Callithrix jacchus: one gene and its partners. The protein of the gene in region 1 interacts with the protein of each later gene in a pairwise test. Links are inferred from orthologs where the notes say so. Each region holds a gene or a part of one and is shown on either strand. Other genes may lie near its edges.

Region 1 (4,162 bases):
TATATATATTAGCTGGGTGTGGTGGCACATGCCTTAGTCCTAGCTACTTGGGAAGCTGAGCTGGGAGGATTGCTTAAACCCAAGAGTTCAAGGCTGCAGTAAGCTACGATTATGCCACTGGACTCCAGCCTGGGCAAGAGCCAGATCCTGTCTCTAAAAAAAATTAGGTGGCTCACACCTGTAATCCTAGCACTTTGAGAGGCCAAGGCAGGAGGACCATTTGAGCCCAAAAGTTTGTGACCTATGCTAGCCTGGCAACAGAGTGAGACCTCATCTCTACAAAACTTCAGAAGATTTGCAGGGCGTGGTAGCACACGTCTGTGGTTCCAGCTACTTGGGAGGCTGAGGTGTGAGGACTGCTTGAGTCCAGAAAGTCAAGGCTGCAGTGAGCTGTGATTGTGCCACTGCACTCCAGCCTGGGTGACAGAATACAGCCCTGTCTCAAAAAATAACTAAATATATAAAAATTAAAATTTGAAAATTAGATAAATAAACAAGTAGGAATTGATCATGGAACAGGAATGCAAAATGCACATGAATTCCTTTCTGTGCCCTTGCTGGTAGACAGTTACAGACATACAGTACTTTCTACTGGCTGTGTAATCTTCAGTAAATTAATGAACTGCCCTGGGCCTCACTTTCAGGATCTGTGAGAGGGAGATGACTAGTGTAACAGTTCTCGCTACCTGATGGTTATGAGAATTAAGAACATTAATGTGTATAAGTGTTTAACACTGGCTGGCACAGAAGTTCTTCAAACATGTTAGCTGCCCTTGGTAGGTACCCAACCTCCAACCCCCATTTGTTAACCCATCTCTGAATTTAGGAGCACTCAGTGAAGAGTCTGTGGTTAGAAGTGGGGCTTCAATTAAGGGTCTTACCACACTGTCCACAAGACTAAAATGGAAAACAAGGACACACCAAGGGGAGAAATACTACAAAAAGCAAAATGGGGATATGGCAAACAGATCCTTTTCAATTAGCTGCTGCATTTATCTCTTCTCTTGAAGAGAATCTTCTGCTGCTTCTGTTTCTTCATCTGCACAACAGGGATGCAGCCATCATACATGCCTGCAAGGCTGTAGTGAGATCCTAGATATGAAAGCATTCTGTAAACTGAAAAGTACCATGCATCTGCGTTTTTGCCTAAAGCTCTCTAAGGTGCGTGGCCTTAGATAAGTCAGCATCTCCTGTCCTCAGCTTCTTTCATTACCGTATTACAATAGGGGTAATCAGAATATCTCACATGATTGTTGTGAAGAAGTGAAATAACACAAAGTATTTTGGAGCCCAGAACACACTATCAAGTTAGTAAGATTACTAGCCTAGTCAACTGGACTCTCTGAACGAAGGGGTACAAAAAAATCAATACTGGCCCAGGAAATCGAAGAACTGGGCTCTAACCAGCTGGGTGACCTTGAGCAAGCCGCTGACCCTTTCCAAATCGTGATTCTCGTGGTCGCAAAATGAGTATTTTTAAGAGAGGATCCCTAGGCTCCTACCAGCTCTTCCACTCCGCTGTTAAGGCGCCGAAACAAAGGCCACCCGCTCCCCAGCCCGTACCCGAGGGGCCACAACTCAAAATTCCTTCTGCTCAATTCCCTTTGTAGCGTGACAGCAGGAGCGCCCGGGTCTCCATCCCGGAGAGATGCATCCACACTCCGCTGCCACCGCTCTCTTCATCAGCAACTTGCTTCTGTGGCCACTGCCCAAAGTTTCGCAGAGCACCCGGCGACCCGGCCGTCGGTCAATCCCGGGAAGACCAAGGATGCGGGGTGCGCAGACCCGGGGCTGGGCCCCGGGAATCTCAAAGCCGCCCCTGCGGCCGGGCAGGTAGTGATAGGTGTGACACGCTGCCGCGGGCGGCGGGAGACCGGACCACGGAGAGGGCGTCTGGGCGCGCAAGGGAGGCGGCGGCCACGCGCTCTCCTTAGGCCGCTCCCTGAGACGCCCCCGCGATGTCGCTGGCCCCGCGCTCCAGAACCCAAGACCCTCGAGCTGCTTTCGGCTCCGCGGCGCCCCAGATCCCACGGCCTCCCAGAGCGGCGCGGCTGGGCTGGGCTCACGCTCGCAGAGCCGGAAGGGTTGGGGGCCGCCGGGGGGGATTGTGCGCGCGGGGTGCTTCCCGCGCGAGCCGGGGCTGCCGAGGAGTGGGCGCACGCGCACCCGGGCGCGCCACCGTAACCCCTTCCTCCCCGCGCGGCCCCCGTACTCCCACCCACCCACCACTCACCGTCGATGTCCCCCAGGGTCAGCTCGTCGCCCAGCTCCGTAAGGGTCTCCATGGTCTCCAGACCGCCCAGCTCGCCGCTCTCGTCCATCGCCCAGCTCAGCGCAGAAGCCCCCCTGCCGTCCCGCTCAGGGAGACGCGGGGGCGGTGCCGTCGCCACCGCCCATGACACCCGACAACCCCCGTCCGGTATCGCCTCACCGGCGGATGCCAGCGGCCGCCATGTTTGCGTTGCGCCCTGGCGCCGCGCGGAAAGGGCGGGGCGGGATTCCCCCGCCCCAGCCCGCGCCCCCTGCGGCCACGCCCCCAGGCCGCGCGCCCCCTTGTTTGTTGTCAATGGGACCAGGCTCATCTCAGCCAATGGGCGCGCGAGGCGGCGCGTGGGGTGATGGCGCGTCATCGATCAGCAGCTCAGATTTGCATAGCGAGGTCCCTCCCCCCGCAACCTGGGAGCGAATGCGGTGAGTAACCGCTCGGTCTTCATCTTAACCTGCTCCTCCTTGTTTAAAGGAGCCGCTGCCTTTTCCGTTGGATCTGCTCCACACGTTATTCCGTCCACCGGCCTGGGAGTGAAGGGTTAACAGACCACCCTCCACCTGCGACCGCCGCCGCCTACAGCCTTTGCTGGAAGCACATTACGTCACCTTCCCAGCGGCCTCCGGGGGCCCTGCTCGCTGGAGAAAGCCGGCGGAGTCAAATCTGGCCCCCCAGCGCTCAGGACCGGAGTCCGGGTCAACGAAGTCCCGCTGCTCCCAGCCCCTTTACAAAGGCTGGCACCGAGGCTTGACTGGGTTGCGAATTGTCCCAGGGCAGTCAGGAGTTATCGTCTTCTGCTTTGCACCCGCCGTGAACTAGCGCTTACTCCAGTGGTCCTCAATCCCTGGGACCTCGGAACCACAAGACCTGAAAACCATGCCAGTGCCCAGCCCTACCGCCGGCCTCCTGAGACGGGGACCCGAGCACGAGTATTTTGAAAAAGTTCCACCGAGATTCTGAAGCGCAGCCCACCTACGGATTCCTACTCCTTCAACGACCTCACTGCCCCATCTTGCAGCTGGCCAGCTGGTCGTGTTGTAAACATCTAGGAATTTATCCCAAGGAATAAAATCACAAGTACTTAAAGAAGTGCTGTAACTAGGAAGAAGTGAGAATAAGGAAATGAATATGTAAATTACATCCACACGACGGAATACCATGGATCATTAAAAATTACGCACACAAAGGTATATTTATTGACCAAAAAAAAGGCGATCACACTGTCAGTCATAGTTACGGGAGTGGTGAGATTTGGGGTGAATTTTACGTTTTTCTGACATTTCAGTATTGTTTAAATTACCTTTTATAATAAACATGTATAAACTAGTGAGAAATAGTGTCTTAATTTTGGGGAAAACAAGACAAGATTGTTCTCTTCATTGTTCACACACAGGGAGGCTGGTACAGAATACACCAGTCTCACCCTGAAAGACAGAAAACTAAACCCTGCTCTGGCCCCAGCACTCAGCAGAAAGGTGCCACCTTCAACTGTGCTGCCCAGTGGCTCCTGCAGGGCCCTTCACACTGTTGTGTGACTGGTACTCTGGGGGTATTCAGCAATAACTTCCATATAACTCTCTCTGGCCCAGGGCACCCACCTATAACCCAGAGCCTCAGTAACCCCCTGCAGAGGTGGCACACAGCACCTGTGCCCATAGTTCCTCCCTGGACCTGCCCAGAGGCTGTGATGCCTGGCCAAGTGGACTGAGGGGGTACAAGTGAAGGCTCAGTAGAAATGCTGGAAGAATAGTGGCTAAACCCAAACCTCAGGAAACTGATATTTTCCCCCTGGCCCTGGATCCCATGTAACTGAACATCTCTTCCAGGTGGTACCTTGCCCTGGCTGGCAGGAAGACAAGGACTGGCTCTGAGGTGTAGGGCAGCTTTTGACAAGTC
Region 2 (4,076 bases), on another chromosome or scaffold:
CTGCTTCACCCAGGCTAGAGTGCAGTGGCATGTTCATAGCTTACTGCAGTAACTTCTTTATAACACTATTGCAGTTTACAAAGCACTCTCACATTATTTCATTCACTCTCCCTACATTACCAAGAGTTAGGAATTAGATCCTTTTACAGATGAAGAAATTGAGACTCCCTGAAGTCAAGTGTCTTATAGTTAGGTTTTGTTAATTTATTCATCAAATATTTATTGAGTGCCTAAAGCACATTTATTGAAATTGGATTTGAAAACAATTTTCCTGAATTTAAGGGTTTATTCCACTATTCTCAATTACTTTATCACCAGGGTTATAAACCCACAGGTAGTGAGTAACAATATGTGTAGATTTTATTGAGGACCCATGCAACACATGTCACAAAAGCTCCAAAGTAAAATTCAAGGTTACCATCAGCAGAGGCAGTCATTCCTCTCTGTGCTTGTTACCTCATGCACTAACTCTTACTGTAGGTAATTCCATTCAAAACACATTTGATGACTATTCCTATAGGTTTTGAAGTTATTCGGATTGGGTTTTGACAGCTACTAGCTGTGGGGCCTTACTTAGATCAAGTTACTTAACCTTTTTGAGCTTCAGTTTTATCATTTGTAAAATGGATAAAATCCTGATGCCTTTGGACCAATGGAAATGAAAGAGATAAGTGAAAAAGTCCATGCTCATTGTAGCTGTGGTTTTCAACTGCGTGATAAAGATTTAAAATCTGCATTCAAATGAGAACAACGTCTATGTCGAAGTTACAAGCTAACTATTCTTGCCAAGTACTGTTCTTTATTTTGGAGGGTATCACTTTACAGTTTGGTGTCAAATGCTCTCTTTTATGAATTTAAGGCGCCAGTAGCTGTCTACTTGAACAGCATGCTTCATCTGGCACGCCAAGTCGACCTTCATCCTCCAGTTCTCCCCAAATTAAAAACCCAAATACACACGTATTATTTCCTAAAATTCAAGCGCACACGCACACGCACACGCCCCTACTTATTTACTAAAATTCAAGCTCGCACCAAAGAGAGTCACAAGGATAGAAAGCCAGGTGGAGGTCACCGGGCAACGCCTCCAGATCCCCCGAAAGGGGGTGGGGTCAAAACTCTCACATCTCTTTCCGCCTCACTCTGTCGTCGCCCCTTCCCAATCCTCGCGAGACTTCAAGCAGCTCAGCTTCTGCGCGCAGCCCGATACTAAGAGTCTAGGCCCAGGGAGGGGGAAGGGAAAAGGAGAGACCGTGCAAACGGCGTGACCGCCATCTTGTTTGTGCCCCCGCTTCGCGCGCGCTCCGTTCTCCGTGACGCACGCTTTCCCCTTCCTTCCGCCGTGCCTGGGCCTCTGCATTGCCCGACTCTGCAGGAGCGCGGGGGCGGCTCCTGCTCTTCCCGGACTCCCGAGCAAAGGCGTGTGAGTGTGCGGGAGCTTCCGTGCGAGGGAGGGTGAGAGGGGAGCGGCGGCGGGGGGAGGGGCAGCGCTTCCCGCCTCGGCCGGAGACCTCACTTCCTCGCGCGGCCGTTGCTGTAGCTCGGTCCGGCCTGCTCGCCGCCATGTTGTGTTCTTGCCAGCCCCGACGCTGTCGTCCCCGCCGCCGCGCTCGTGGGGTCCGTGCGCCTCGTCGGCCCGGCCCGCGGGCTTTCTCCCATTGGCGGAAGGCGACGGCGGGGGGGCTCGCTCGTGATTGGTTGGTGGCGGGGAGGCCGCGGACCTGGCACCTTATTGGTCGCGCCGGCTCCGGCCTAGGGGGTGATGAAGGAATCTGAGGCTGCAGGGATGCGCGCGTCTTGGTCTAGGGCGGCGGGGGCAATGACCCCCTGCGGCGCACGCGGGGGTTGCGGCGCGGGTGCGAGCCTAGAGGCCTTAAGGGGGAAGAGAGGGTGATGGCCTGGCCGGTGCTTTGGGGGTAGCCTGGGCTGTGGCCTGGAATGGGGGACATTCACTTTCATAGGTGCTTTTCCTGATACATATGTAGCCCAACATGGGGTTGTGCAGGCCCTCAGGGTTCCAGGCCTGGAAACACCGAAGCCCAAGTGACCAGCTGAGAGATCTTCGAGATCCAGGGGTGCTAGTGTGACCCAGTTTGGAAGTGGCCCTGAAGTCCACGGTGTGAGTGCATGGTATGGGGAAAAAGGCATCAGGGCTAGGGGCATAGATGAAATGTAGAATCAGATCAGGGATTTTGCCGGAGAGTGCAAGCATTTAAACACTGAGGTGTGGTTTTTTTTTTTTTTTTTTTTTTGAGTCGGAGTTCCGCTCTTGTTACCCAGGCTGGAGTGCAATGGCGCGATCTCGGCTCACCGCAACCTCCACCTCCTGGGTTCTGGCAATTCTCCTGCCTCAGCTTCCTGAGTAGCAGGGATTACAGGCACGCGCCACCATGCCCAGCTAATTTTTTTGTATTTTAGTAGAGACAGGGTTTCGCCATGTTGACCAGGATGGTCTCGATCTCTTGACCTCGTGATCCACCCGCCTCGGCCTCCCAAAGTGCTGGGATTACAGGCTTGAGCCACCATGCCCAGCCGGCGGATGGCTTCTTAAGGAACAGGACTTGTCAACACTTTCTGGTTCATATTCCAAAATTTTTATTCCAGTCAGAGTCGTTCCATTGGACTTGTTGGGGATATGTTCCTTTTCCACTGAATCTTAATCATAGTTATTTATATTGCTTTACATTTGCTCCTCCCAATGTGTGAGGAGCATGGAAACACATTTATGTTAAACCTCTGTGTTTTCCTAATTTGTTTTTTCTTGTTTTTGTTAGGTTGTCCTTTTAGTTTTAGATGTTACTCTTCTGTTTTCATACCAAATTCAAGAAACTTCTATGGTTTTCAAATGTATTCAGTTTTATGTGAATGCAACTAAAGTTTCTGGAGAAGGGAATTGAAAAGTAGTAGAGGAAGAGAATTGGTATTTTGGGGCACATTTTAACACCAGTAGATAGGCATTATCATCCCAATATTGCAGATGAGGAAACTGAGGATCACACAGGTTAAGTAGCTTGTCTAGTGTCACTCTGTAAGTGGTTGAGCTGGAATTCAAACCCAGGTTGCCTGATGCCAAAGCCTGTAATTTTATCTTCTGCTACATTATGCTGTCAGCATAAACCTCACGGATCAAACTTCCAGATAATTTTATATTTCCAAGTGGATCGTCTACTTTGATTTCTGGGTGTTGAGAGTGTATTAAATGGAAAGCTATAATTCGTAAGAATTTGTTGTGCTGCTTAAGTATTTAGACCACAGAATTGTAACTATATAGAATATGGGTTCTTCAGCTAGGTATTCAGTCATATCCCTTGGTTTCTATTGTGTAAAGGAAGATTTACAAAGTAAATTGCTGCATTTTTCCTGAACCCAGGTAGATAATGGGGAAAAAATATGTACAGAAACTTGAAATATCTGCATTCCTTAAAACCAGGTTTCAGAATATATTGCAGATAGGCTTTCTGTATATGAAAGTAATTTATGCCAAGCAGTGAGGAACTACTACATGCATAGTGTAAAGAGCTCACTGAAGTGGTTTTCCAAACATCACCAGTTCCTTAGGGTGTCTCCAAATACCAGGACCAATTCAAAGCCTAGTGCTTTCTTCAGACTGTGGGATATTGATTCTAGGATATGCTTATCCTGAACAATGTGTGAAATTAAGACTGGATGGGACAAAATATTTGCAGTTCCAATTTTGCATGGAAACATTTGAATCAGGTTTTGAGGGGAGACCAGTGAGTTGGAGGTCTTAATTGCCTTATGTCTTGATGTGCTTAGTTGAAGCCCTCCCTCATCTTTATTTGCAGTAACATTTCATGTGGAAGATAGAGGCAAAGCTACAAGTGAAAATAGGGTTTGCCATGCATTTTGTACATTGGTTCTTTCAGCCGCCTTTGGCTCGGTCATCAAGTTAACAAAATATGAAGAATGATGTAGATCTGTAACTTAGTTTCTTTTTTACTAAGGCTAGACAAAATGAGAAAAATGAGTGTGTATGTATACCTTTATTATGCAGCAGGCGTTTCTGCAGCAACCTGCCCTTCAACATTGTTGGCCACTTTATTTCCATGTTAGCCCCT
Region 3 (3,646 bases), on another chromosome or scaffold:
TAACTTTGATATTTTCAGTAGAGACGGGGTTTTACCATATTGGCCAGGATGGTCTCCATCTCTGGACCTTGTGATCTGCCCACCTCAGTGCTGAGATTGCAGACTTGAGCCATCCTCAGCTGGCCTAACTTAAATTTTTTTATAGCGATGGGGTCTCCCTGTGTTGCCCAGGCTGGTCTCAAATTTCTGGGCTTAAGCAATCCTCCTGCCTCGGCCCCACAAAGTGTTAGGATTACAGGTGTGAGCCACCTTGTTCAGCCTAGAAGCCTTTTTAAAAAGAAACATTGGCTGGGCATGGTGTAATCCCAGCACTTTGGGAGGCCAAGGCGGGCAGATCACCTGAGGTCGGGAGTTCAAGACCAGCCTGACCAACATGGAGAAACCCTGTCTCTACTAAAAATACAAAAGTAGCTGGGTGTGGTGTCATGCGCCTGTAATCCCAGCTACTTAGGAGGCTGAGGCAGGAGAATTGCTTGAACCTGGGAGGCGGAGGTTTTGATGAGCTGAGATCGTGCCATTGCATTCCAGCCTGGGCAACAAAAGTGAAAGTTCATCTCAAAAAAAAAAAAAAAGCCTCTGGCCTGGCACAGTGGCTCACACTTGTAATCTCAGCACTTTGGGAGGCAGAGATGGACGGATTCATCACCTGAGGTCAGGGGTTTGCGATCAGCCTGGCCAACATGGCTAACTTCGTTTCTACTAGAGATACAAAAATTAGTTGGGCCTGGTGGCGTGCACTTGTAGTCCCAGCTACTTGGGATGCTGAGGCCAGATAATCTCTTGAACCTGGGTAGGAGAGGGAGAGGTTGCAGTGAGCTGTGATCATGCTACTGCACTCCAGCCTGGACGACAGAGTGAGACTTCGTCTCAAAAAAAACAAAATAGAATGAACAACAACAAAAAATGAGGCCTTAGCTAAGCGCAGTGGCTCACGCCTGTAATCCCAGCTGTTTGGGAGGCCCAGGTGGGCAGCTCACAAGATCAGGAGATCGAGACCATCCTGGCTAACATGGTGAAACCCCATCTCTACTAAAAATAAAAAAATTAGCCGGCGTGGTGGCCCACGCCTATAGTCCTAGCTACTTGGGAGGCTGAGGCAGGAGAATCACTTGAACCCAGGAGGCAATGTTGCAGTAAGCTGAGATTGTGCCACTGCACTTCAGCTTGGGTGACAGAGAGAGACTCAGTCTCAAAAGCAAAAAAAAGGAAGCCTTTTTCAAAAATAAAAGTTTGGTCACACCTGTAATCCCAGCACTTTGGGAGGCTGAGGCGGGCGGATCACAAGGTCAGGGGTTCGAGACCAGCCTGACCAACATGGTGAAACCCAGTCTCTACTTAAAAATACAAAAATTGGCTGAGTTTGGTGGCACGCCTGTAATCCCAGCTACTTGGGAGGCTGAGGCAGGAGAATTGCTTGAACCCGGGAGGGGGAGTTTGCAGTGAGCCAAGAGGGCACCATTGCACTCTAGCCTGGGTGACAAAGTGAGACTCTGTCTCAAAAAAAAAAAAGTTTGAGTAAGTTTGGTGTAGGTTGGGTAATTGCTGTTGATACTTTGTGGTTCTTTAGTTTCTGTCTTTAGAATGAATGATGAATAGTTGTATTCTTACTTTTAGGGGTTCAGGGGATCCTGGCAAAAAGAAACAGCATATTTGCCACATCCAAGGCTGTGGGAAAGTATATGGCAAGACCTCACACCTGCGGGCACACTTGCGCTGGCATACTGGCGAGAGACCATTTATGTGTACCTGGTCATACTGTGGGAAACGCTTTACCCGTTCGGATGAGCTACAGAGGCACAAACGTACACACACAGGTGAGCAAGAGCCTGTGGGAGAGAAAAATAGTAATAGATCAGAATGAAAAACACAAAATACACTTACAAAATAACTAAAATTTCTTAGCAACTTAATTTGAAACTGAATTATATGGGTCACAAATGGAATTGGAGTTAATCTGGAAAACTTTTAAGAAGGAAGGAGGGCCAGGTGCAGTGGCTCACGCCTGTAATCCCAAGACTTTGGGAGGCCCAGGCGGGTGGATCTCTTAAGGTCAGGAGTTTGATACCAGCCTGGCCAACATGGGGACACCCTATCTCTACTAAAAATACAAAATAGCCAGGCTTGGTGGCGGGCATCTGTAATCCCAGCTACTTGGGAAGCTGAGGCAGGGGAATCAGAAGGCTTAGTTGCAGTGAGCTGAGATTGCCCCACTGCACTCCCACCTGGGTGACAGAGCAAGACTCTGTCTCAAGGAAAAAAAAGGAAGGAGCTAGGTTTTGAGTGGGATTTTGAAGGCGAAGTATTGAAACCATTACTCTTAGTCTCTGCCTTGCCTTACTTTTCTGCTAAGTTCCACCGTCCTTACTGAGTACTCCCTAACCTTTATCTACTTTTCTTCCCTGTCCCCCCAACCAAAAGGAAAAGATACTTCAAGATTTTTCTTGTTTTTAATAATCTTGTCATACTGGCCTTATTCAGCCTAGTAGAGTTTGAAAGCAGTGAATTAGGTAAGGTAATCTCACTTCCTAACATGTCAGCTTCTTTTCTTCCTTTACCTAGGTGAGAAGAAATTTGCCTGCCCTGAGTGTCCTAAGCGCTTCATGAGGAGTGACCATCTGTCAAAACATATCAAGACCCACCAGAATAAGAAGGGAGGCCCAGGTGTAGCCCTGAGTGTGGGCACTTTGCCCCTGGACAGTGGGGCAGGTTCAGAAGGCAGCGGCTCTGCCACTCCTTCAGCCCTTATTACCACCAATATGGTAGCCATGGAGGCCATCTGTCCAGAGGGCATTGCCCGTCTTGCCAACAGTGGCATCAACGTCATGCAGGTGGCGGATCTGCAGTCCATTAATATCAGTGGCAATGGCTTCTGAGATCAGGCACCTGGGGCCAGAGACATATGGGCCATACCCATCAACCCTGGGATGCAAGGTAGCATGGGTCCAAGAGACATGTGGGAAGAGAGAGCCATGAAGCATTAAAATGCATGGTGGTGGGAAGAATTGGGAGAGGGATACAAGAGAAGAGATGGGGTCCTGGCACCCATCTATATCATCAGTGCCTCTTTGAAGGTGGGAAACATTAGTGAAAATTCTGTTGGTGCCACCCTTTGATGAGCATTTGTTTTACCCCAGTTTCTTCTTAAACTTCTTACTCCAGCCTACCCTTCCTGCATTTCTCTTCTCAGCTCTTCCATGATGGATCACCCCCCTGCCCCATTTCCTAAAGCCATCATGCCTTGATAAATATATATGATCATTGAAATACTTTTTAACAAAAAACAGATTCTATATTATTATATATATATAAATATATATATAAAGATATATAGAGATGCATTCACAGGGGTTGGCTGGGAGGAGGAAGAAGACCATTCTGTGACCAAAATACCTTGGTCATTTTTTTTATATTGCCTTATTTCCCTATGGCTGAGCCTTGTTGTGACACATCAGCTTTTCTGTAGATGTTGCCTTGGCTTCTCACCAAATTAAGCATTCATATGCTCTGCTTTTAGTTTATATATACATACATAATGTTTTTCCTTTCATAATTTTGTCTTTATTTGGGATCAGCTTCTTGCACTCCTTTCCTGACTCATCTGTTGCCATCTCACATTCTCATATCTGATCACTTCATGTTTTATTTT

What was found.
Region 2: the proteins of SREBF2 (region 1) and NFYC interact in binary tests that used the Homo sapiens proteins (3 or more experiments, as listed by UniProt). The link is inferred for Callithrix jacchus from reciprocal best matches to the Homo sapiens genes SREBF2 and NFYC.
Region 3: the proteins of SREBF2 (region 1) and SP1 interact in binary tests that used the Homo sapiens proteins (3 or more experiments, as listed by UniProt). The link is inferred for Callithrix jacchus from reciprocal best matches to the Homo sapiens genes SREBF2 and SP1.

The regions. Positions count from the first base shown.
Region 1 is NC_133502.1:189,935,698-189,939,859, forward strand, and holds the start of SREBF2 (sterol regulatory element-binding protein 2), read right to left. Parts: upstream 2,863-4,162; 5' UTR 2,631-2,862; coding exon 2,234-2,630; intron 1-2,233.
Region 2 is NC_133508.1:77,228,067-77,232,142, forward strand, and holds the start of NFYC (nuclear transcription factor Y subunit gamma), read left to right. Parts: upstream 1-1,167; 5' UTR 1,168-1,420; intron 1,421-1,758; exon of another isoform or gene 1,759-1,759; coding exon of another isoform or gene 1,760-1,853; exon of another isoform or gene 1,854-2,127; intron 2,128-4,076. UniProt on the Homo sapiens protein: Component of the sequence-specific heterotrimeric transcription factor (NF-Y) which specifically recognizes a 5'-CCAAT-3' box motif found in the promoters of its target genes.
Region 3 is NC_133510.1:66,144,069-66,147,714, reverse strand, and holds part of SP1 (transcription factor Sp1), read left to right. Parts: intron 1-1,614; coding exon 1,615-1,814; intron 1,815-2,559; coding exon 2,560-2,873; 3' UTR 2,874-3,646. UniProt on the Homo sapiens protein: Transcription factor that can activate or repress transcription in response to physiological and pathological stimuli.